Astyanax mexicanus: one gene and its partners. The protein of the gene in region 2 interacts with the protein of the main gene of each other region in a pairwise test. Links are inferred from orthologs where the notes say so. Each region holds a gene or a part of one and is shown on either strand. Other genes may lie near its edges.

Evidence for each region.
Region 1: the proteins of glial fibrillary acidic protein (region 2) and ribc2 interact in a two-hybrid assay, tested with the Homo sapiens proteins (2 studies listed by BioGRID and IntAct). The two-hybrid records come from large-scale screens. The link is inferred for Astyanax mexicanus from reciprocal best matches to the Homo sapiens genes GFAP and RIBC2.
Region 3: the proteins of glial fibrillary acidic protein (region 2) and pdzk1 interact in binary tests that used the Homo sapiens proteins (3 or more experiments, as listed by UniProt). The link is inferred for Astyanax mexicanus from reciprocal best matches to the Homo sapiens genes GFAP and PDZK1.

The regions. Positions count from the first base shown.
Region 1 is NC_064417.1:4,634,524-4,641,927, reverse strand, and holds the start of ribc2 (RIB43A-like with coiled-coils protein 2), read right to left. Parts: upstream 3,021-7,404; 5' UTR 2,935-3,020; coding exon 2,818-2,934; intron 2,124-2,817; coding exon 2,042-2,123; intron 1,454-2,041; coding exon 1,142-1,453; intron 646-1,141; coding exon 527-645; intron 397-526; coding exon 169-396; intron 1-168. Other genes in the region: probable polypeptide N-acetylgalactosaminyltransferase 8, read right to left, coding at 5,807-5,941, 6,705-6,872. UniProt on the Homo sapiens protein: Microtubule inner protein (MIP) part of the dynein-decorated doublet microtubules (DMTs) in cilia axoneme, which is required for motile cilia beating.
Region 2 is NC_064426.1:21,114,978-21,122,483, reverse strand, and holds the start of glial fibrillary acidic protein, read right to left. Parts: upstream 3,149-7,506; 5' UTR 3,061-3,148; coding exon 2,561-3,060; intron 1-2,560.
Region 3 is NC_064418.1:9,927,775-9,935,165, reverse strand, and holds the start of pdzk1 (Na(+)/H(+) exchange regulatory cofactor NHE-RF3), read right to left. Parts: upstream 3,021-7,391; 5' UTR 2,960-3,020; intron 396-2,959; 5' UTR 345-395; intron 191-344; 5' UTR 186-190; coding exon 1-185. UniProt on the Homo sapiens protein: A scaffold protein that connects plasma membrane proteins and regulatory components, regulating their surface expression in epithelial cells apical domains.

The DNA.
Region 1 (7,404 bases), on a different chromosome or scaffold from region 2:
ATTATTTTTATTATTATTATAGGCACTTTCTTCGCCTCACTTCTTGTTTTGTACTGTAAAGATGTCAGTAATTTTGCGCTTCCACTATTTGTGTGTGTGTGTGTGTGTGTGTGCGTGATTTAACCATAAATACATTCTAATTTGATCCTAAAGGTACTCGTGACTCACCCTCCTGTCCTCGGCTTGCTGCTTCTGGTAGTTGCTGTAGTGCAGTAGCTGCTGGGGGGTCATGCCCTTATAGCAGTCCCTGCGCAGTCTGGGACGTCCAGGCACTCGGCTGCTCTGCTCGATGCTCTCGTTCAGCAGTTCCCCCTGCAGCTGGTTCAGGATCTCCACCTGGTTGTTCTCCTCTTCCTCTCGGCGTTGCCTCTCTCTCTGTTCAGATCTTTCGGCAGCCTGTAGATAATGACCGACTGAATGATTTTAGGGCTTATACTTAAATGCGTATACTGACAATTACAGTAGCAATGATTTAGAACTTTCTGTAAACTTGGCTTCTTACTTAAAGTTACAACACTGGACTCACCAGAGCTAGATTGAAGTTCTTGATGGCGATGGTATTGGCTCTCTTGTGCTCTTCCTCCATCTTTTGCAGCTCGACAGCTCTGCTGTCCAGAGCTACTCGGCTTTGGTCATACTGTAGATCTGTTGAAGACGGCAGATGATCAGCGTTATTTTGTTTTTTATATAAATTAATTTACATTGTTTTCCATTTTCTCCCAATTTAGCTAGGCCAATTATGCTACCCATTTAGCTTCTACTCAGTTCTACTCATCCCTCTGACACATTTTTAGTCAGCCACCGCCTCTTTTTTAACTGAACTGCCGAGTAGCATCACAGAGTGCTTAGAAAAAAAGCGCAGCGACTCTATTATGACACATCAGCTCACAGATGCCTTGTGCTGACTGATATCACCCCAAGAGTGATGAGGGGAAATAGAGCCATCTACACACCCAAACAGTGCAAGGTCAATTGTGCTCTCTCAGGGCTCTGGCAGCTGATGGCAAGCTGCATGAACAGGATTCGAACCTGTGATCTCACGATCATAGAGTCAGCGCTTTAGACCACTGGGCCACAAATACAGATAACTGTATTTTGTGCTAAAGTGCCCCTAGCACAGTTCAACATGGTGTAGCTCTACCTTCTTGTTTCTGCTGCTCTTCTGTCTGCTCCAGCTCTTGCTGCTGCTGGATGGACCAGTCCCTCAGCTGCTCTCTCTGCCGCTGTGCTCTGTCTCTGCTGGCTAGATCCTCCCCAGCCAACCCAGGCAAAATGCGCACACCGTCCTGCTTCTTCAGGAACTCAGAGTCGTTCAGGTCGAACTCCCGTCTGCTGCTGGGATGCTGGAAACGACTCCGGAACTGCACAATGGCCTCTTCCAGCAGACGTTCATCTTTCTTCTGCCTGTGCTCCAGTACGCATGCTGTCTGGTCACTGCGTATGAGCTTATCCACTTTTGGGACAAAGAAAGATAAAACAGAAAGATCAGACAAAGGTTTGCATTTTTTTGCTAATGAATCAATTGTTTGTCTGTTCTAACATCTATTATTAAATACATTACCACACAAAACATGTGTGGACATCTCTTCTAATGTATGCATTCACGTACATTTTTATAGATGACTTGCTGACACAGATAAAAATGAACTTTAACCTGTCAGGTGTGGGCTAAAGGGGTATAAAGCCCTGAAAAATTGAGCTATTAAGCAGTGAAACTCTCTTTTATTTTTTATATTTTTTACCACCCTTAATTCCAGAAAAAAACATCTATGAATGAGCAGCTGTGCCAATACTTTCATGATCAGATATAGTATAAGATATGACACAAGAGTATTTTGTGTGGTTTCTTTATTTTTGGTTTATTTTGGTCTACAATAATATATTTATATAAAATAAAATAATAACGACACATTCCTGTGAAGCTGAAAAAAGACAAATCAGAATAAAATGAATCTGCAGTATTTTTAAATAAACAAGTAATAATTATTACATAAAATAAAGTTAATTAAGCAAATCTTTAAAAGCTTTACCAAAATCTTACCATATTCCTTTAGCGCTCTTGCCTCAGCTTGTTCTTTATCCCTTCTTTCCTTCACTTGAAGTTCAAGAGCTTCCTTATCAACCTAGTGCAAGACAACAAAATTTTACATAAATGTTAAAGCTTATAAAATATTATTAGGTTTATCACTGGTTTTCTTATGATGACTCTTCCATGAAGGCCATATTTGTGAAGGTGTTGCGGAACAGTAGAACACATTACCTTTAACTCCAGAGTCTGCTAAATCTTACAGAAGGTCTTTTTCAGTCAAGAAGAGCTTCTGATTTGCCTTTCTAGCAATCCCAAGAGCGCCTGTTCCTGAAATTTCTTTTGGTCTTGTAAACTATATCTTAATCTCCATTGTTCCTGTTAACTGACACTTCTCAATGTTAACCTGAAAATGCTTAAAACTCGATATATTGTAAGACAATTCTCTATGATACTTTACGGAATACTTCTAAATACTTATACTCAGAACTTTACCTATGAAGTGTGGAGCTACTTTGAGTTTGAGTTTACTGGTTTTAGCTTCGGCTAAAAGCGCTGTTTTTCAGAATGCTGGGCTGAACAGAGGTGGGCTATTCGACAAAAGTGTGTACTCATTATCATGTTTCACTGCACCCCAAGTCCATTTTTACACCAGACTTCTCCTTTAACTACATGATAACTATATAAACACGATAATTACATTATCAACTTAACATGCAATAAATAGACATGATCTCATATATATTTCATAATTATCATCACATAACCGGGGAACTAAAGCTCAGACTTACTCCGATTGTTCGCAGTTTGGCGTTAAAAACCCGCTCTTTCCGCAGGAGTTCCCGGGTTTGTCTCTGGTCCAGGTGAGCGGCTGAGAGGCGGTCTGATGGGAGCTGGACGGGGTTCATGTCTGCGGGCGGCGGTTCAGCTCAGCTCCGCTATTCAGCTCCGTCCGTCCGCACAGCAGCAGCAGCAGCAGCACTGTAAACACTGCGTTACTAAGCAACCCAGATAAAAACCGCACGCGACCCCTGCCTTTCCTTATTTATATATACAGCTCTGTAACAAAATAAGAGACCACTTCCGTTTCTGAATCATTTTCTCTAATTTTGCTATTTATAGGTTTATGTTTGAGTAAAATGAATATTGTTGTTTTATTCTATAAACTACAGACAATATTTCTCCCAAATTCCAAATAAAAATATTGTCATGTAGAGCATTTATTTTCAGATAATGAGAAATGGCTGAAATAACAAAAAAAGATGCAGAGCTTTCAGACCTCAAATAATGCAGAGAAGTTTTAACAGTTCAAAAATCAATCAATATTTGTTGGAATAACCCTGGTTTTTAATCAGTTTTCATGCATCTTGGCATCATGTTCTCCTCCACCAGTCTTACACATTGCTTTCGGATAACTTTACGCTACTCCTGGTGCAAAAATTCAAGCAGTTTAGATTGATTTGATGGCTTGTGATCATCAATCCTTATATCCTCTTGATAATATTCCAGAGGTTTTCAATTGGGTAAAATAAAAAAAATCATCTTCAATTCATCTCTAAAAAGGAAAAAAAAAACATGTATTTGTATAATGTAAAGTAGTTATTGTAAAAATACAGTAAAAAAAATAGAGATAAATTATGGAATTTAGAAATATATAATGGTCTAATTTCATCACGTTTAAACATATATATACACCGTTTAGACCAGCATGAATGTTTCGTTAAAGTGGAGTGAAGGTCTAATTTACACTAGACTGAATAACTCTTTCTCTCTATTTTCCTTTTTCTGCTGACACTTATTTTTACTGCTCTGTGCTGTAGAAGATCCTGCAAACTAGAGATTCTCCACCGGGGGCGCCACTACTACTCAACTAGCTCTGTGTGATTATGAATCTTAATAAAACCATTAGATGGTATAACTGCTTTATCATATTATATGATAACGAGTTTATTAAATCGTAGCCATTAAGGCATGGCCAAAAGGTCATTTTGTTTCACAGCTAACAGAGCAAGCAGCTCTCAGGGGTTGTCAAAAGAATTCAACTAAATCAAAATCAGCTGTCAAAATTAACACTGATGCCACTGATTGTCTAGATAGAGTCTCTTACCTCCCAGGCGCTGACCCATCGTTCTGTTCATACCACTCTGGTCTGAAGGACTCGTACATACACCACAGCTGCCAGTCAAAAGCATGGGCAAACGTTTCATATTTAATCACATCCAGGGTGGCACATTCCACTCTATCAAACACTGGAGACAGCACCACGGTCCTGATTCTTGCCAAAAGTGGTTCTGCCCTAAAAGCACATTAGACCAAAAGTTAAATTCTGATTATAAAAATGTAACACAAGCAGCATAGCTGTTTTTGTTTCATTCAAAGTCAAAGTCAAAGTGTTTTTTATTGTCATTTCAGCTATATACAGAGTACACCAGGGACCATGGTGCACATAAACACAGTGTAGACAGAACAAAAAGTGCAACAGTACAAAAGTGCAGACAGACAATACAACACACAGACAAAGAATAATAAATATCAAGACAGTGTGCAAATTATGCAGTGTGCAAAAAAGACCAGTGAGGTAGTAATTACCTCTATTACGCAGTGTGCAATAGAGTCCAGTGAGGACTTTTAAAAACAGCTGTGAATACATTACCATAAACCACGCCCTAATAATTAAATTATTTATAATAAATTATTAATTATTAATTAATAAATAAATCCATCCATAAATCTATCCAGTTTCGACCACACGAGGATGGTTTCTTCTGTGGAGTCTTGGTTCCTCTCTAAATGATTTTTTTGCCAGTGTAATTTCTGGCTTGATCACTAGGGGGATCCATAGCCCATCTTTCTAAAGCTGCTTTATTGCACTTTATTGCAGATCTTCTTGAGAACAGATTTTCTGCAGGTTTTCACTCCAGCCCAAATCAAACCCAATTATTCAATCAAGGGATTTTAAAGACAGTCTTTATTTGGGTCAGAAGGGGTTGGATCTGAAGTGTGATGTGTGAAGGCAGCTCTTCAGGAGCAGGGATAGAGGGAACTGTTACAGAATCAAATCTCAACAAAAATAACTCTCTAAACATTTTAAGATGTTTTTTTTAAACCTTTATTTTTCCTTTTTTTCTTATATGTTCATTTCATTTGTACAATTTGATACTTGATTAACATAACATATGTAATTAGATTTCTAATAAATTATTAATTTGGAAAAGAAATGTTTAGTAAACTATACATTTAGTGCACTATTACAACTTACAGCAGACTATCGTTACCTGCCATCAAGTGAAAATGCCCAGCTAGCTCAAATATCATTTTCAAAAAGTTTAGAAAGAAATTCAGGGTGAATATACAGCACCAAAAAGTTCAAAAGTTTGGACACACCTTCTTATTCAATTTCAATATTAAATTTAAAATGGAAAACATTTTCATTCATAAAAAGAAAGAAAACACTTTGAATGAGAAGAGGTAAACATTCAAATAACACTTTATTCTTTCCACGCCCAACACTAAATACATTTTTTCCTCTAGGGAATTCAATTTCAATAAAACATAAGTAAACCCTTCAAAAATACCAATGTTCAGTAACTCAACACAGTTCTGTAAAACTGTTCACATGTACACAACAGTAAATCCCATTCTGTGCAAAAATAACAGCAATAATGGGAATATATTTTGCGATTATATTGTGCTATTAAACCATCAAAAATATCACTGATAAGTTAGACGAATAGGAGACATTTGAAAATTAGATTTTTTTTTTGGGCTCTTTTAAGATTGCTAAGCATTTTGTATCAAATGTTGTATTGTCCAGTGTTGTCCAGTGCAGTCCTGAATTATAAGATGGTAATATGAATCAGCTCCTTGGGCGATCTCAAGACACCTTTTTGTGTCTCTGTTTTTGATTGCCTGACCCTGTAGGTAAAGCAAAGAGAGATAATTAAATAGACATTGATTAAAATTCATTAATATTAAATCTTAGTACTTAAAACATCAAGTACACATATAAATACATAAATGAATCATTTTAAGATTTATGGATAATTTTCGAGGCAGTTTGGAAGGCTAATTACACAACCCTTTTTCCTATAAGCTCTCGCTCTCACTGGCAATGCCCCAACACATCTCTGGGTAGCCAAAATGCTACACACACATCACACTAGGGGTGAGAAAAGAAATGAACTCAAACTAAGCCCTGAGAGAGCTAGACTGATTGCACACTTTTAGATTCTTTTCTAATGGCAAGCAGCAAGATCCAGGATTCAAACCAGCGATCTCCTCAGATCATTGTGTCAAAGTCTTATAAGTACATTATGAAATTATTTGGAGAAAAATGAATAAAATGTATAGACTTTTTCGCACTATAAGGCGCCCTGTCAATAAACGTCTATTTTTTGGTCTATTTTCTTACACAAGGCACAATAGATTATAAGGCAATCAGGGATAATTATCAGGGATGTCCTGCTATGGGTGGCAAATATGTAACAGGGCTGGACTTTAAATCTAAATCCTGTTTGCTTTCTTCAACTTTCCTTGGCTTTAGGATGGCCCTTTAATATAAAAGTGCTCCATCTTTATTCCTGTTTCACTCAGCAGGTTAATGTTTGGCCACTTAACCAAATTCCACTAATTTACAAAGCTTCCTGTCATCAGTTAACCCGTTCAGCAGAGTACATACCTGTTTAAAGTCCCAGTGCATGTGTAACCCTTTCTCCTTGGCTATTTTGCAGTCATGCAGTCCCGGTGTGTGTCCTTCCCCAGGATCCACCAGACAACGATTATTATTGTACTTGTGGGATTTGATGCCTCCAATGTAAATCTCCCCTCTACGCCTGTAGTAACAGCTCTGTATAAAAAATGCATATATGAAATTCCGATTAATCAAGTAGTTAATAAAAAAACATGAGTTTAATCCTATGTGAAAAATTGGGGGACAAGTGGGAGAGTGTACCCTTGTGGTACAGGTATTTCTTCTTCTTATGACACAAATATTTGATGTCTTCAATAAGAGAAGGAAAATCCTTTTAACTTTCAGTGGAAAGTCAGTAAATGAAGATTTTTTAAGCATTTTTCTTGGTCTGTTGTATTGGAAAATTGGAAAACTGCCAGATTCACACTATGCCCAAACATAAAAATCTGAAAATTTGAAGTATCAAGGTTTTTGTGCAACAGGGACAATTTTCCATGTGAGAATACTTTGAAGTGGCAATAAAAAACTAAGTATTGATCAAATGCTGTAAAGTAAGCTGTCAGACAGTTTGACAAAGTCTGGAAGCCCATTCCAGCCAGATAAAAGAGAAATAATAATAAAATTAAAATCTTGTTAGACAATTTTTTTTGTCTGAAAGTGTTAAACTCAAGTTTATTCTAATATCTTA
Region 2 (7,506 bases):
GCAGGAATGTGTGTATATTAATAAATGAATAGCACAATACTAACCATTAAACTAGGAACTAAAATTAAGATTTTTGGCCGAAATCTAAACCAAACAAAAGGAAACATTTTTCCAAAGCCAAATACTGAATATGCTTTTTGGCAGGTTCCTATTACATTTACTACTGTCTTTTTTTTTAAAGTTGGCAAACATTTTTAGTATACCAGCAGGCAAACCAATAAAGCACAGTACATTTACCTCAGCAGTGCAATTTTAGTCATATATTTACCTCAGAACAATCCTAATGAATCCAAAGTTTCAGTGTACCCCTACATTAGACTCTACTAATTCACGTTTAAAAGTCATACATTGAATTACAACGGCTGCTCAAGTTAATCCATATTACAGCAAAGTCCAACAATAGGTTAAAATCATAAGGATATGGTCAGAGAAAGATCTCATCCACATTTAATACAAGTAGAAACAGAACGTGTTCAAATTTCTTTAGTCAAATTGTAAAAAAATATATATATATATTTTTGACAGAAAATGAGAATGGGCTGAAATAACAAAAAAGATGCAGAGCTTTCAGATGCAAAGACAACTTATTCATATTCATAAAGTTTTAAGAGTTCAGAAATCAATATTTGGTGGAATAACCCTGGTTTTTAATCCCAGTTTTTATGCATCTTGGCCTTTTCTCCTCCACCAGTCTTACACACTGCTTTTGGATAGTGCCACTCCTGGTGTGCAAATTCAATCAGTTCAGCTTGGTTTGATGGCTTGTGATCATCCATGTTCCCCTTGATTATATTCCAGAGGTTTTTAATTTGGTAAAATCATGATTTTTAAGTAGTCTTTTTATTTTTTTTCCATAGCTGCATATATAAATGGACAATTCTCGATCAAAATTTTGATTTTTTTTTTTTGATTTACATAACAACTTTAGTTTTTTATTTGTAATCAGACAGCTCCATTTAAAGTGATACACATTTTTTTACGAATAGTAAGTAGCCTCTTTTAACCTTATATGCAACTTTTTTGGAAAACGCATTAGAACAGTAATTTGAATAATTCACAAATTCACTAAAATAAGCAGGCATGGTCTAAAAGTAAGAGTTATGGGCTTGGGACCAGTATGTTGCCAGTTCTATTCCCTGGTCTGGCAGGGATTGGTAATTAAGGCTTAACAACAACAGCGCTAAATGTGACGTATAAACCTGGTCAGGTTGTTAGCTACATTAGCCTTATAGCTCTAAAAAAGGAGGAAGGTTCAGATAACTTCTGTCTGGTTTGAGAGAAAACAGGTTTCTGGTGGTGGTTGGGGCATGGCTAATGCTAACACGCCTACTGTGAGTCAGCAGCTAATTGTTTAGGAGACATTTGGTTAAAAAATGTTTTTTTCCAGGACAAAAAGACATCTGCACAGCACTTTTAAGGGTTTAGCAGAGGAACTATTGTGTCCTTCCCTGCCCCCACTTTTCCCGCCTCTGGAAAGAGGAGGGATAAAGAAGAAGAAACTCATGCTGGAAAAGAAAGGCAAGTGAATATGAATGAATGAATAAATTAATGGATGCCTGGATGGATGGGTGGATGGATGAAAATCCTTGCAAGAATTCTGCCATTACGAAGCTATAAATCCGCATGCACTCAATCAGAGTATCAGAATTTATAGCTGAAATAATGCCCAGCCTATATATGGTTGCCTCTCAGCCCACCCGTTGCTGTGGCAACTTTCAGGCACAATTCAAAGAGCTCCATTTGAATAGTCGCATTTCTTTGGCATCCCTGCTGACCTCAGAGAATTCCTTTACAATCCATCCATCTGCCACCCTTAAAGCTCCCCTGGTTTTTTGAGTATTGGCTTGGATTAGAGCCATGACTGAGCGCACAGAAATGCACCGTAAGTTTAGCTTGAAGCAAACTTGTACAGACTAAAGTTTAGGACAAACAAGAAGATATGTAGCAACATTTGGACTCTAAGGTGTTTGGACACTTTAACCATTTGTCTGTCCAATAAGCTTGTGTATACTGCTTGTATGAACTCTGAAGCATACAAATGTATTTTGGATGCAGGTAAACCCTCAAAAACTTCATTTTGAAAAAAAATGTGTCTTCCAAACAAACAGTAATAAAACACAATTTTCTTTCCTAACAAAATTTTCTTTCCAAAAAGTTTCCGAGGCCACTGTTTATATAGTATAAAACAGGGGTTCTTAACCTTTTTCTCTCTGTGACCCCCTTCAACCCCCTAAGGACTATGTCAGGACCTGCTTGTGGGTCGCAACCCCTGGGTTAAGAACCTGATATTAATTCAAATATTGAAATAAAACAAAATCAAAGTACAAATTCAACTCTATTTCTGTGTTCTTCCCCCATTTTATTCCTCTCTTACCAATTGTTACATGTTTGTCGGATGTTCTTTTTCTAAATTAGGTAATTAATTTAATAGTAAGCCCTTACTTGTTGAAGTGAGCCTGTCAGAACAGGGAAAACTAGAGCACTGCTAAAGCTAAAGGTCCTCCAGGACTACAATTGGCCTTCAACTAATTAACTATACAGTCGACTAAGCTCATCCTACCTCTGTTTGAGTGTGACCAGATCAGCCGCCAGGTTGTCCCTCTCAATCTCCAGCCTGGCCTTCCCTGCATTGAGGCCGTCCACCTGCCTCCGCAGCTCCCTCAGCTCCTCCTGGTAGATGTCCCCCAGGCGGCTGGGCTCTTTTCCCCGCAGCTGGTTCAGCTCGGCCACCAGCATCTTATTCTGCTGCTCCAGGAAGCGCACCTTCTCAATGTAGCTGGCAAAGCGGTCGTTCAGCCCCATCATCTCCACCTTCTCGTTGGTGCGAGTCTCCCGGTACTGTGCCTTCAGCAGAGAATCGGCCGAGAAGTCCAGCCGCTCGCCACCGAGGGACAGCCGGGAGGTGGACAGGGCTCCCGGGCTGGACAGGGTCAGGTGGCGAGGGGTGCTGTGGAGGGACAGGCGGCCAGTGCTTAGGCGGCTGGACAGGGCAGGGGACCCGGTGGAGCCCTGAGGCCCGAAGCGCTTGCGGTAAGAAGAGAGAACACGCTGGCTCTCCATGTTGGGGCAAATGGGGTTGAACACCAGGGAAAGAAGGCTTTTATATTGAGAGAGAGTGTGAGGGAGAGGGTGAGGGAGAGCGAGGGAGTGAGGGACTGAGTGAGAGGGTCCAGTGGGAGGGATGGAGGAGGTGGAGGAAGGGGTAGAGAGAGGGCATAGAGGGAGAGAGTGAAAAGGAGGGGTGTGAGGGGTGGACAGGGTGTGTGTGTATTGTTTGTGGCGTCTCCTGACCTGTTCCTTTTCTCTCTTTCTCAGTCTCCGGGGTGTGTGTGGTGAACTGGGGGCTACATTCAGTCACAGAAAATCTATTCATCTCTGATGGAGAGCAAAAAAGAGAGAGGGAGGGAGGGAGGGAGGCCGGGAGGGAGAGAAAGAGAATGTCAATTGTATTTGTCTCTTTTTACCTCCTGCTGGTGAGCTCCTTGATTGCACCACAGAGAGAAAGAGAGAGTGAGAGATATATGGGTGAACAAGGAAAACTCTTTTCTCTGAGTGTTTAAGTACGTCTCACCCCGCACCAAAGTTACACTCACTTTTGGCTGCATCTGAGTCACCGATGGTCTCTTACTTCTGTCTGGGTCTTTTCTCTGTGGAAGTTTAATGATGTCACGGACCAGTGGTGCGATTACGTAATGTGTTGATTAAAAAGAGTGTGTGACAGACTGGCCGGCAGCGAGTCTGAGTCGGCTCTCTTCATTGTGCTAATCTGGAAACATCATGCAGAAGAAAGTGCTGTTAAAATTCCACATTCACTGTAAGACATGACTTTAAATTGAATTTCTACAATCCCAAATCAGAAACAAAGTTGGAATGGTGTGAAGATGTAAAGTTCCAAAAAAGGTGTTTATTTTACATACTTTGACTTTGGTTTAATTGCAGACTGTATGAACCCAATAAAGTTTCTAATGTAGCCATTCCTTCTCACAACGCTTACAATGTATTTTAGCACCAAGGATACAAGGTAATGGAGTGTTTCAAGTGGTAATTTGTCCCAGTTTTCCAGCAAACATGTCTTACGGTCTGCAGCAGTACAGGGTCATCATGGTTGCAATAAGGGATAGGTCAGGACTGCAGTTAGTCTTGTCCAGTACCTGTGCCTTTGTAATCTGTGCAGCATGTGGTCTTGCATTATCTGGTTAAAAATGCATGGACAACCCTGGAAAAGACGTCGCCTTGGAGCATGTCACTTTAAAAGTGCTTTCACACCTGGTCTGGACTTTCAGACTTTTCAATTTGGTCCAAACTAAGGTAGAAGGCTTTGGACCAAAGCACCAGAGTTTGGTCTGATCAAAGCACTTTTCTAGTTGATTGAGACAAACTTTAAAGAAACCAGAGGAAAAAACAATTGATGTTCTGCTGAAATCCAACTCCCCTTGGCATGCAAGCATGTTGTGCAGCAGTATGGACACAAACATTTAGACTGTGAATGTAGTACAACATGTGGTGTGTGGTGGTATCAGCAGTTGCTAAATATGGCAATCCTTTGGAACCTTCGGCAACTCCTTTGAAGCTTGTTGCTGCTAGTCACAACCTTCCGTGGATTTTCTCTCTTCACCTGGAACGATCTGAAAGTAATAATTCAAGACACGCAATTTTTGGTCATGCTTGCTGGCTCATCCCATTGTTTTGTTGTATCCCTCTTAGTTGACAGGCATCTTTGTCCAGGTACTATTACAGGAGGAACTGAAAAGGTCCAGATCTTTCTCATGGCATAGCTGCCAACTCCAACATTACCTCTGCCCAACACATCCTACTGGTCAGTAGTTCCTACACCTGGGACGTTAGGTTAGTCTAAATCTCTGTTGCAGCACCTTCTTTGCTTTCAAAACCGTGATCTCCTCTATGATGAATTTCAATTCATTGCAAGTGTTTCACAGTTTTCTCAGAGATTGCTACACCTGAAATGGGAAAACAGGACTGGTCCCTTGACTGGGTTGAATGGCTAACACCATCAGGGACTTTGACACTGGATGAATGCCATGAAAGTGCATCCTCTCTGCTTCTACAGCTCTGTTAAGACCATATGCCTCCAAACACTTACTCATTGATGACTGGTAAGTCATCCTTAAAGGAATAGGGCAAGCACTATTCTTCCACTGCACAAAGTGACACCACATTTCACCCCTTGGTTTTTGTCCAAGACTGATGAATCTTCAGACCTTTCTCTTCTCCCCTTACAGATCTTGCCACATGAACATTTGATACTCATCAGACATTCATTTGCAAGAAACTGTTTGCGAGAGATTTTAGCTGCGTTACAAAATGCCTAGGCTGCAGCTGAGTTAGGCTGCACCTCTTAGCCGCTACCTTACTGATGACTGCTCCAAACTGAGGGACCCTTCATTGTTCGGAAAGATTTGAAGAATGCAACTGATGCGTTCTTTGCGGCTTTTGGTTACCAAAGTGTGCAAAATTAAAAGATAATGAAGCCTTCGGAGAAGAGTTCATTTTGAAGGAATAAAAAATAAAAAAGAACACGATTTTGCACCACACGGTTATCTGATGTTCACGAGTGGCATCAAGAAGAAGCTTGTGTGACCAACAGGCTACAGTTTTACCAAGAACCCAGTCTACCTTGACTGCATCCTAGCATTGGAATGAAGGTTTTCTGTTTCTAACCCTGGGCTCCTTGTAGGTGAATGTTTTTAGTCATGGCCTGGCAGAGAAATACACAGAGAAATGACAGAGAAACACTGTTATAGGGGATTCTTTCAATCCAAGCTTTTTCCACACATTAAGTGTTATTTGGTCTGCCAAGCCTCAGAACTCAGTAATTTGGCAACATGGGGTCAAACCTCAGCTTTCGTCCTAGCTTTAATCGGGATGTCAGGACTCTGAAGCCTCCACACTAAATTGCTTGTCTCTTCCTCTCTACAGTGATGACAAGTGCATTGTAAACTTGACAGAGGTACTGCTTGGTCTGTGCCAGTTGCTAACCAAATCTAAGAAGTTGCTTGTTGCTCGTTTTCCATTTAAAAAGGCACAACACAGTTATCTCCAGCAAGGCTCCAGCAACGCAATGTCTTTATCGACTCTGAAAACCTAGCTGCGGGAACTTCAGTCAATTTGGGATTTTTTTGTTCCCTTGTTCTCTCATTCCCTCTTTGGCTGATCAAGCAAAAACATCTGCCAGTGTAAGAAAGACTGTTGACTAAAGCACAGTCATGCCATGCATCTATAATAGGTTATTTTTCCCCATGAATCCTGGATGGCAGGACCCTTCTCCCTTGATCTCATGCCAGCTCTGAGCACAGTGCACTGAGGCACTGAACTATGCAGCTTGGCTGGGATTTCAGAAAAGTGTTGAGCATGGCTTCCAAGGGTCACTGGGTCCAAGCAGGTGCATGCTGGCCTTTGGTCTCTAAATCCAAGACTACACAACGTGACAATCAGGCCACATTTAAAGATATTTCACTCCTCCCAGCTATGGCAAAAAAGTGTCCTGTTTTAAAATGAGTATCAGAAAGGTTATAGTAACTAAGGTAATTATTCTGGGGAGCAGAGAAGCATTTCATAGAATGCTAACCATGTTGAATTCTGAAGATGATGGGCAACAACAGAAAAAGACCACACTGAGATACATTTCTATTAAGAACGCTGAAGCTACCATAGGCACAGACTTGTGGAAAGTTGAAGACTTGGCAAACTGTGGCATGAAGACTGAAGACAAGGTCTGATGAATCTTGATTTCTGCTAAAACAGCCAGGTGGTGGCGTAAGACCTCCCTTATATTAACAGTCCAGGCTGACGGATGTGGTATAAAGAAGTGAAAATTTTCTTGGCATACTTTAGGCTAATTAATACCAATTCATTATCACTCAAATGTAACAGAATATTTGAATATTGATGCTGACCATGTGCATCCCTTCATGGCCACAATTTTCCCCCAACAAAAAGGCTTCGTCCTGTATGATGATGCACCATATCACAAAGCAAATGTCACCATCAAACCGGTTTTAACCGGTTTCCAAAGGTTTCTTCAGTCACAAGACCTAAACTTTGTTGAATATCTTTGAGATATGACAGAGGAGGAGATGTGTAGCTTGAAAATACTTTTTTTGCAGAAAAAGTGTAATCAATTAATGTCATCATGAACCAGAATCTCAAAAGAAAAGACTTCTTGTCAACTTCTTGCAGAATACAGGCTATGATAAACTGAGATTGTTTTAAGCAAAGGAAAAGTGCTTGGTGAGTGTAAACATTAAAACAGTTTTTAAAAATCATAGAGAACAGTAATTCAGAGCGCAGGCTGCACTAGCTATGTTGGCAAAAGGCTGATAGATGCCATTCCATAACTTGCCAAGTGAGCCCTCAACAAATATCTAGCAGGTTTGATATCTGGACCAGTCAATAACTCTAAATTTGATAGTATGCAAAATGTTGTGACTGGAAGTTAGCGCAGTGACTAGCTACAGCCAATGAGAGCATAAAACATGGAGTGAGTTC
Region 3 (7,391 bases), on a different chromosome or scaffold from region 2:
ACATAAGTGCCGTTGACTCTGACGATGCGATCTCCATCCTTCAGCCCTGCCAGCTCTGCAGGACCACCCATCTCCAGGGCCCGGATCAGATGACCATCCTCACCCTGTTCAATCCTCAGGAAGAAGCCATAGCTTTGACCCTCACGCTTATTGAGAGAGATCACTCGAGGTTTGGGCACAGACATGTTTCCTAATGGAGAAAAAGTATATAGTTAAAATAGAAATTAAACTAAATTTAACTAATAATTCTGATAAATTGGTGGGAAAAAAATTATGTTAAAAATATAAAATGTAAAAAAAAATCTGCATAACTAGATGATTTAGACAATACTGGAGAAACTTACTGAGTCAGACGTCTTTTAGATGGTGGTGAAAAGAACCAGGGGTTGTGAGCCCTAAAACACAAAAATTACCTTTTTAATTGTCACCAGTACACCTGCACTTCTTTTTTTTATTTTTATTTATTATATATTTATACCGTAAATTTCATGTTAATAAAATTAACATGTATGCCTATTAAAAATTGCTAAGAAAAATTGCTAAAAAGGCCAAAAGTTTTAAAACTGTTCTAAAACAATGTCTCTGTTTTGTTTTTGTTTTTTTTTTCACAACATTTCTGTAACCATTTTTGTCTAATTTGAATTGTTTACAGTGATGGTCATGAGAAAAAAAGACATTCTCTAAAAAGCTATTAATAAATCCAACTAGTGTAAAATAGTTTTTTTGGGCATTAATTAGATTCATTAACAGCTTTTTAGAGAATGTTTTTTTTCTGACCATCACTGTAAATAATTCAAATTATCTTTCAAAGTATTTTTTCTCGTAATTCACAATTTTAATTTCACATGATTTTTCACACAGATATCTAACTGATTTTACCTTTATATAAATAATTACATGAAAAAGTGTAAAAACTATAAAAAAAAGTGCCAGACCTTCCCTTTAAGTCCTCCAGCAAGTGATTGCACACCTTTTCGGTGCCCTTTTACAGTTTATATCTAATCTTAATGATAACCAGCATTATCATTCCATACCTGCCAAATTGTTTTACAACACAAGCTGCTATAAAAGTGTAAGTTTATCAGCGGGGTGTGGTGAATGGTGTTCTTACATCACCATTTAAATCTCTTTAACGTAACACTGCGGAAAAGTATAGATTCATAAATAAACATTCACAATAATGAAAGAATGGACTTCATTATTTTATTATTATTAATTTGTATCTTTATATATTATAATTATGCATTCATGCAATGTCCAAAAACATACAAATAAAAATCCTAAGAAAAGATACTGTCAAGGTGCAGCATATAATTTAAGGTTTAATTTTTTTATACTTTAAAAGAATGCTTACATTCTTATAACCCTCCCATAACTTATAACCTGACTGTATTAAATAAAGGGAAATAAAGAAAAACACCTAGACTTAATGCAGAGAAATAAAACTGCAAAGAAATATAGATAATATATTTATTCTCCAACCAAAGTCACTAAAGATTAAATGTACTTTAAATGTACTTTGGATTATGTGACATTATTATAATATCCATAAATTACTCAACCAGTCACTTTACAACCACTAAAATCAGTGGAATATCGTACTAAATTAGGCCCACATTACTGATAGTACAATTTATAGCAATTACAGTAAAAACATGGACAGGTGGACCAGACAGGCTTGTATACGTAACGTATATACAGTGATATACAGTTAAATATAATTTTTGATGAATCTCTTCCTGAGGCTGTACAGAGATAACTGTGAGTAATTTGAGATGTGCAAATCATAGCAATTATCCAGAGCCATAAAATCCCTATCCAGACTGAAGACATGCAGGTTTAATAAGAAGATAATATGCTGACATTCACAGAATGTACTCTTGCTCTCGGATCGTTAATTGTTAAACTGGAGGTGCGATGGTAAAGTGCGTTCTTTGCTGGAGCGAATGCACTTTGCCTCCGCAATAAAAAAAATGTCAATAGCCATTTTTACCAAGCGTGAAGAAAGAGAGAAGAGGCATGTGTGAAATGTCATCTAGATTTTTATATTATAACTGTCACAAAAATTTTACATTTTCAGAATACTTCGATCAAAATACATTGTTTTCTTGAAGAATGACAAAATATTTAATATAGTTTATTACACTAAGCTATAATACAAGAAATATGAATTTAGCACTGGACATATCAATGCTGTCCAATAAAAAAACATGCATTTCCAAAAAAGCAACTTTAAGGGAAAGAGAGATCCCAAAACCTTAACTTTCAATGGAAATAAAAAAAAAAGTTTATTTCAGGTAATGTTGCAGAATTTCTTTCAGGATCTTTATCAAAAAATTGATGCATTTTAAGGAAAAGTTCGGTTTTCAAATTCTGTATAACCTAAAAATCAACAAAAATGGAGATACTTGTTTTTCATTTAACACTAATGATATGCCCTATGCATTATCATCATTTTAAAATCCATCAGAGATTACGTAATACCTCACCCATAACTAACCAACGTTACTATAGCTCTCGATCAGTTATGATATTTTCAGATTGCATGGTGATGTATTCTATAATCATAGCAATTTATGATTATAGAGCCTATAATTCGATTTGTTTTCTAATTAATAAAAATCCAATACAAAAAAATTATTTGATACTGACCTCTGAACATATTTGCCTGATTGCTAGATGCAGCTTTCATTAATTACAGCAATTCTACAGATACCAGCTTTGACTGTGTATAAACTATATGTATTTTTTGGAGCTTAATATGATCAGGACAATAATATAAAAGGGGGGAATTATTCACAGCATACTAAAATTTAAAGTCAGCAATTAGAACAAATAGAGCATGATAATGATATCGAGATTGAAAATTAAAAACTGAAATAACAAACTGATGCACTTTTGAAGGTATCACAGTTATAGATTCTAATAATTCTCTGCAGGTCAGGTAGATGCTACTCACCTGTTCAGGTCCTGTGGAAGTCCGTACTGAAAGGAGGTTCTTGCCTCTTCTTACAGATGTTATCTATCTATCTGTGTGTAAGTCTGTACCGGACTTTGACAGGCCAAAGGTTTACTTAAAGAGTGAGTTATTTAACCACATCTCGTGGCTGAACGCCTCTTCCCACTGTTGCTGTGAATAATCCTGATCAACCCTGTAAACTGCAGCAATCATAAACTTTAGGAAGGATTTGAGTTAGGATGAGAGTCTATGGAGGCTGAGGGCAGAAGTGACACGGTACTATTTCTAATTCTGTTCATTTAAATGAACTATTCAAGTGCTTTAAATGTTCTGAACTGAAGTGAGAAACAAAAAATGTCTGCCATTGACCTGTCATCAAGTATCAACGAGTAATCCAGCTCAGAAAAATAGCAATTTATTTGCGTCATCAAAAACGCTGGTGTTTGTTATAAATTATTCAGTCTTTTCACTTATTCATCTGAAAAACAAAGGCACTTTTCAGCAGAATAATTTGGGCTGCAGAATTTTCATGTGTATTACATTACAGGATTACATGTTTCTTCACAAATCAACAGAATTAAAAACAGTTTATCCTGCTCAAATACACACAATTTAACATTCAAATTTTGCGTTTAAATAAATTTTATTTTAAACCAGTTAGAATTAATAAAATCTTATTATTCTCTTTTTACATTTCAGATTTTTTACATTCTCTTTTAAGATAACAGAGGCATTTTTATTGTTGGATAGTTGATTTATTTAATTAATTCTCTGCTCACAAATACCTATCATATTTCATATCAAGCTTTTTATTTTTTAACACAAAGTATGAAGAACTAATTGGCCAGAACAGAAGCAGAATGCTGTGCTGAACCTTCAGGCTGAACCTTTTAAACATCATGCTTTTGATCTTTTGGTCCTCTCAAACCCACAGATCCTTAAATTAGCAGACAAGCTGTGGTTTAATCCTGATATCATGCTGAGAACAGCTCAGCTAACGTTTCTCTCGGTGGGAATAATGTTCCAACATTCAAGGATGAGATTTAACACTATGTGTCTACAGTCTTTCTTTTGCAGAGTAAACACAGACCACAAACTGCTCAATGTGGATCTGAAGGCAAAGTTTTCGACTGGTCTTTGTGCTGAAAGAGACGCAGACTGGGATCTTGTTCTAAGGTGCATTTCATCATTTAAAAACAGCTGTTTTGTATTTACTCAGGTTATACTTCTCTGATATTAAAGTTTGTTTGATAATCGGAATAATGTAAGTATGATAAAAAAAAAAAGCAAAAACAAGAAGAAAGCAGTAAAGATTGAACTGGTCTTTGGGCTGAAAGAGGAGCAGACTGGGATCTTGTTCTAAGGTGCATTTCATCATTTAAAAACAGCTTTTTTATATTTACTCAGGTTTATTTCTCTGATATTAAATTTGATTGATAATCGGAATAATGTAAGTATGAAAAAAGCAAAAAAATAAGAAAGCAGTAAAGATTGAACTGTTTTTTTTGCTGCAAGAGAAGCAGACTGGGATCTTGTTTTAAGGTGTATTTCATAATTTAAAAACATCTTTTCTGTGTTTACTCAGGTTTATTTCTCTGATATTAAATTTGTTTGATAATCGTATTAATGTAAGTATAGTAAAAAAGCAAAAACATAATAAAAAAGTAAAGGGGTAAATATTTTTTCTTAGCTCCACAACTAGGGAGAGAAGACGATGACACAAGTCAGGAAACCCTCTCTCTCCAAGGCAAGCTTGAGAACATTGAGACACAAGTTTTGGTTCTGGAATAAAACAATTTATTTACAACTAAACCAGAGTGTTGACTGGGTTTTTTTATGCATCTCTACAGCAGAAAAACATAAACTGAAAATACTGAATAAACCTGCCTTTTTTTTTCAAATACACTAAACAAAAATATAAACACTTTTGCTTTTGCTCCCATTTTTCATAAGCTAAACTCAAAGGATCTAAGACTTTTCCTCTGTGCACAAAAGACCTTTATTTTCTCAAATTGTGACCACAATTGGGTCTAAATCTGTGTCTTCTTTGCTGAGATAAACCATCCTCCAGTCACAGGTGTGGCATATCAAGATGCTGATTAGACACAGGGATTATTACACAGGTGTAATAATCACTGTGCATCTTAATATGCCACACCTGTGATTGGTGGATGGTTTATCTCAGCAAAAGTGAGAGAAGTGCTCACTTATAACACAGATTTAGACCCAATTATGAGCAAAATTACAGCGTATTTTGTGTACAGAGGAAAAGTAGATATTTGAGTTCAACCAAAATGTTACATTTATATTTTTGTTCAGTGTATATTAATCTGCATTCACCAACACTCAACACACTTCAATACTGTTTAATACTGTCTAACCTTTAAATACAGCGTTGCCCTCAGTGAGAGACTTACTGACATCATAATACATTTTCAGTCTCAAATAATTGAAACTTCACATTTCAGAATCAATTGAACAGAGTGATCCACAAATTCTTATCCTTAGCAGCTCAGAGAGGTGCTTTACACACACACACACACACACACCGCACTCACTAAAGCAATAACATGCCTGAGTGGGCTGTCTTTTCAATACCCTTTAATTATTGAGCAGCAGCTGAATATGCTGCAGTAACCTTGAAGAGACTGCTGAACACCTTTATTCCAAAGAACTGAAAGGTATAAATGATACTAAGTGCTTAATTTATTATTTAATATCTTTTCTAGATTTGTAACCTTTAATTTAACTTAATATTGATGAAACTTACTTTAATACGCTGCTCATTTCTGATATTAAACACATTAAACACATTTAATGACCAATTTATGCAGAAATCCAAGTAATATTAAAGGGATTTATTCACTCATGAACTCCTCTAGTGTGGGCTAGAGGATTTATACTGCTGAGCCTGAGACCCTGAGGCCAAAAGGTCTTAATCTATTAAAATATAGAATTATTATTATTATTATTATTATTATTATTATTATTATTGTGGAGGCTCCACATTATGTTAAATCATATTTTCAGGAAAGCCAGCCGTGGCTGTTGTGTAAGGACTGCATCGTCTCTCAGTGTCCACTATAGGGAGCCAGTGATTTTCTCCTCAACTCAGAACATAACTTCCTACTTTTTTTAGAAGTAAGACCTGGAAAACCAACCTGTGCTAAATCTGACCCACATTAACTTATTTCATTTGGCCCACTTGACACATAATGCCAAGTATTGATGAGCCAGTTCTAATGAACGACCAAAATATGCCTAGAACTCAACCAGCATTAGCAGGACCATGGCCAGTATACGGTATTATATTATTATTAATAATAATAAAGTACCTAAAGGACATTCAACTATCTAGTCTATCTAGTACATACTTATCACCAAGTAATACATTATTTGTCTTTTTTTTTTTTTTACTACTGCAACTTATGAAGGGCTGACCATACAACGCAATTATTCAATAAATCTATCACTGAATTTAAAATATTGAAAAAAATACAGAAATTTTCACCACTTTTTTATGCTTACTTTATTTTTCCCAGAAATGTAAAAAAAACAGGGGTTGTAAATGGAATATGCAGAAATGTGTTCTCTGTAAGTACATTGGCAAAAAAAAACTTTGCGAACTCTTTGGAATTTCATGTTTTTTTTGCATAAATTTGTCATAAAATGTGATCTTACCTTGATCTCAGTCAAGAGTATTAAGAAATATAATGTGCCTCAAAACATATAAACATTTATTTCTTTATTAAGAACATCCATAAACATGTTATAGTGTTTGTGGAAAAATTATGTGAACCCTTGTGCTTATAACCATAAAATGCTAATGAGAAAGAACTGTGTTCAAAGTTTAGTAGATTTTAACACAGGCTCAGTTTTCAAACTTGGGGCATTTTTTTACACTGGGTTTTTTCCAAACCTGTGTGTGCTTTCTCCAGGGCTTTGGTAGAATTGGTCCAGAGTGAGCGCCCAAGTTTAGTAGTGGTTTCTGATTGGACAGCGATTACATTTCATTTAGGCACAGATTCTGCGCTGCTCCTAGACGAAATGCAATCCTGTGCATTGTGATTTTCTTACGAACAGTCACAGCGCCACACAGTGGAATAACATGCAGTTGAGCATTGTAAAAGTTTTGTGTGCAATTCTAAAACAATTCAGCATTTGGTTTTGAAAATGTAAATTCTTGTGTATTGTTTTAAGAACAGATTTTTTAATAAAGATCAGATGCAGTGAAGTGTAATGAAATAGTGGTTTTACATTTCAGTTTGGCATTTATTCTGTATGTTATACAGAATGCATTTTGCAGATTGTAGTTTTTCCACGATAGTGTTTGCTTTTTAATTTTGCACTAATATCTCTCCATACAAGAAAGATATGCATACATTTGCACATACATACTCATGCACACACTCGCATACTCACACACACCCTC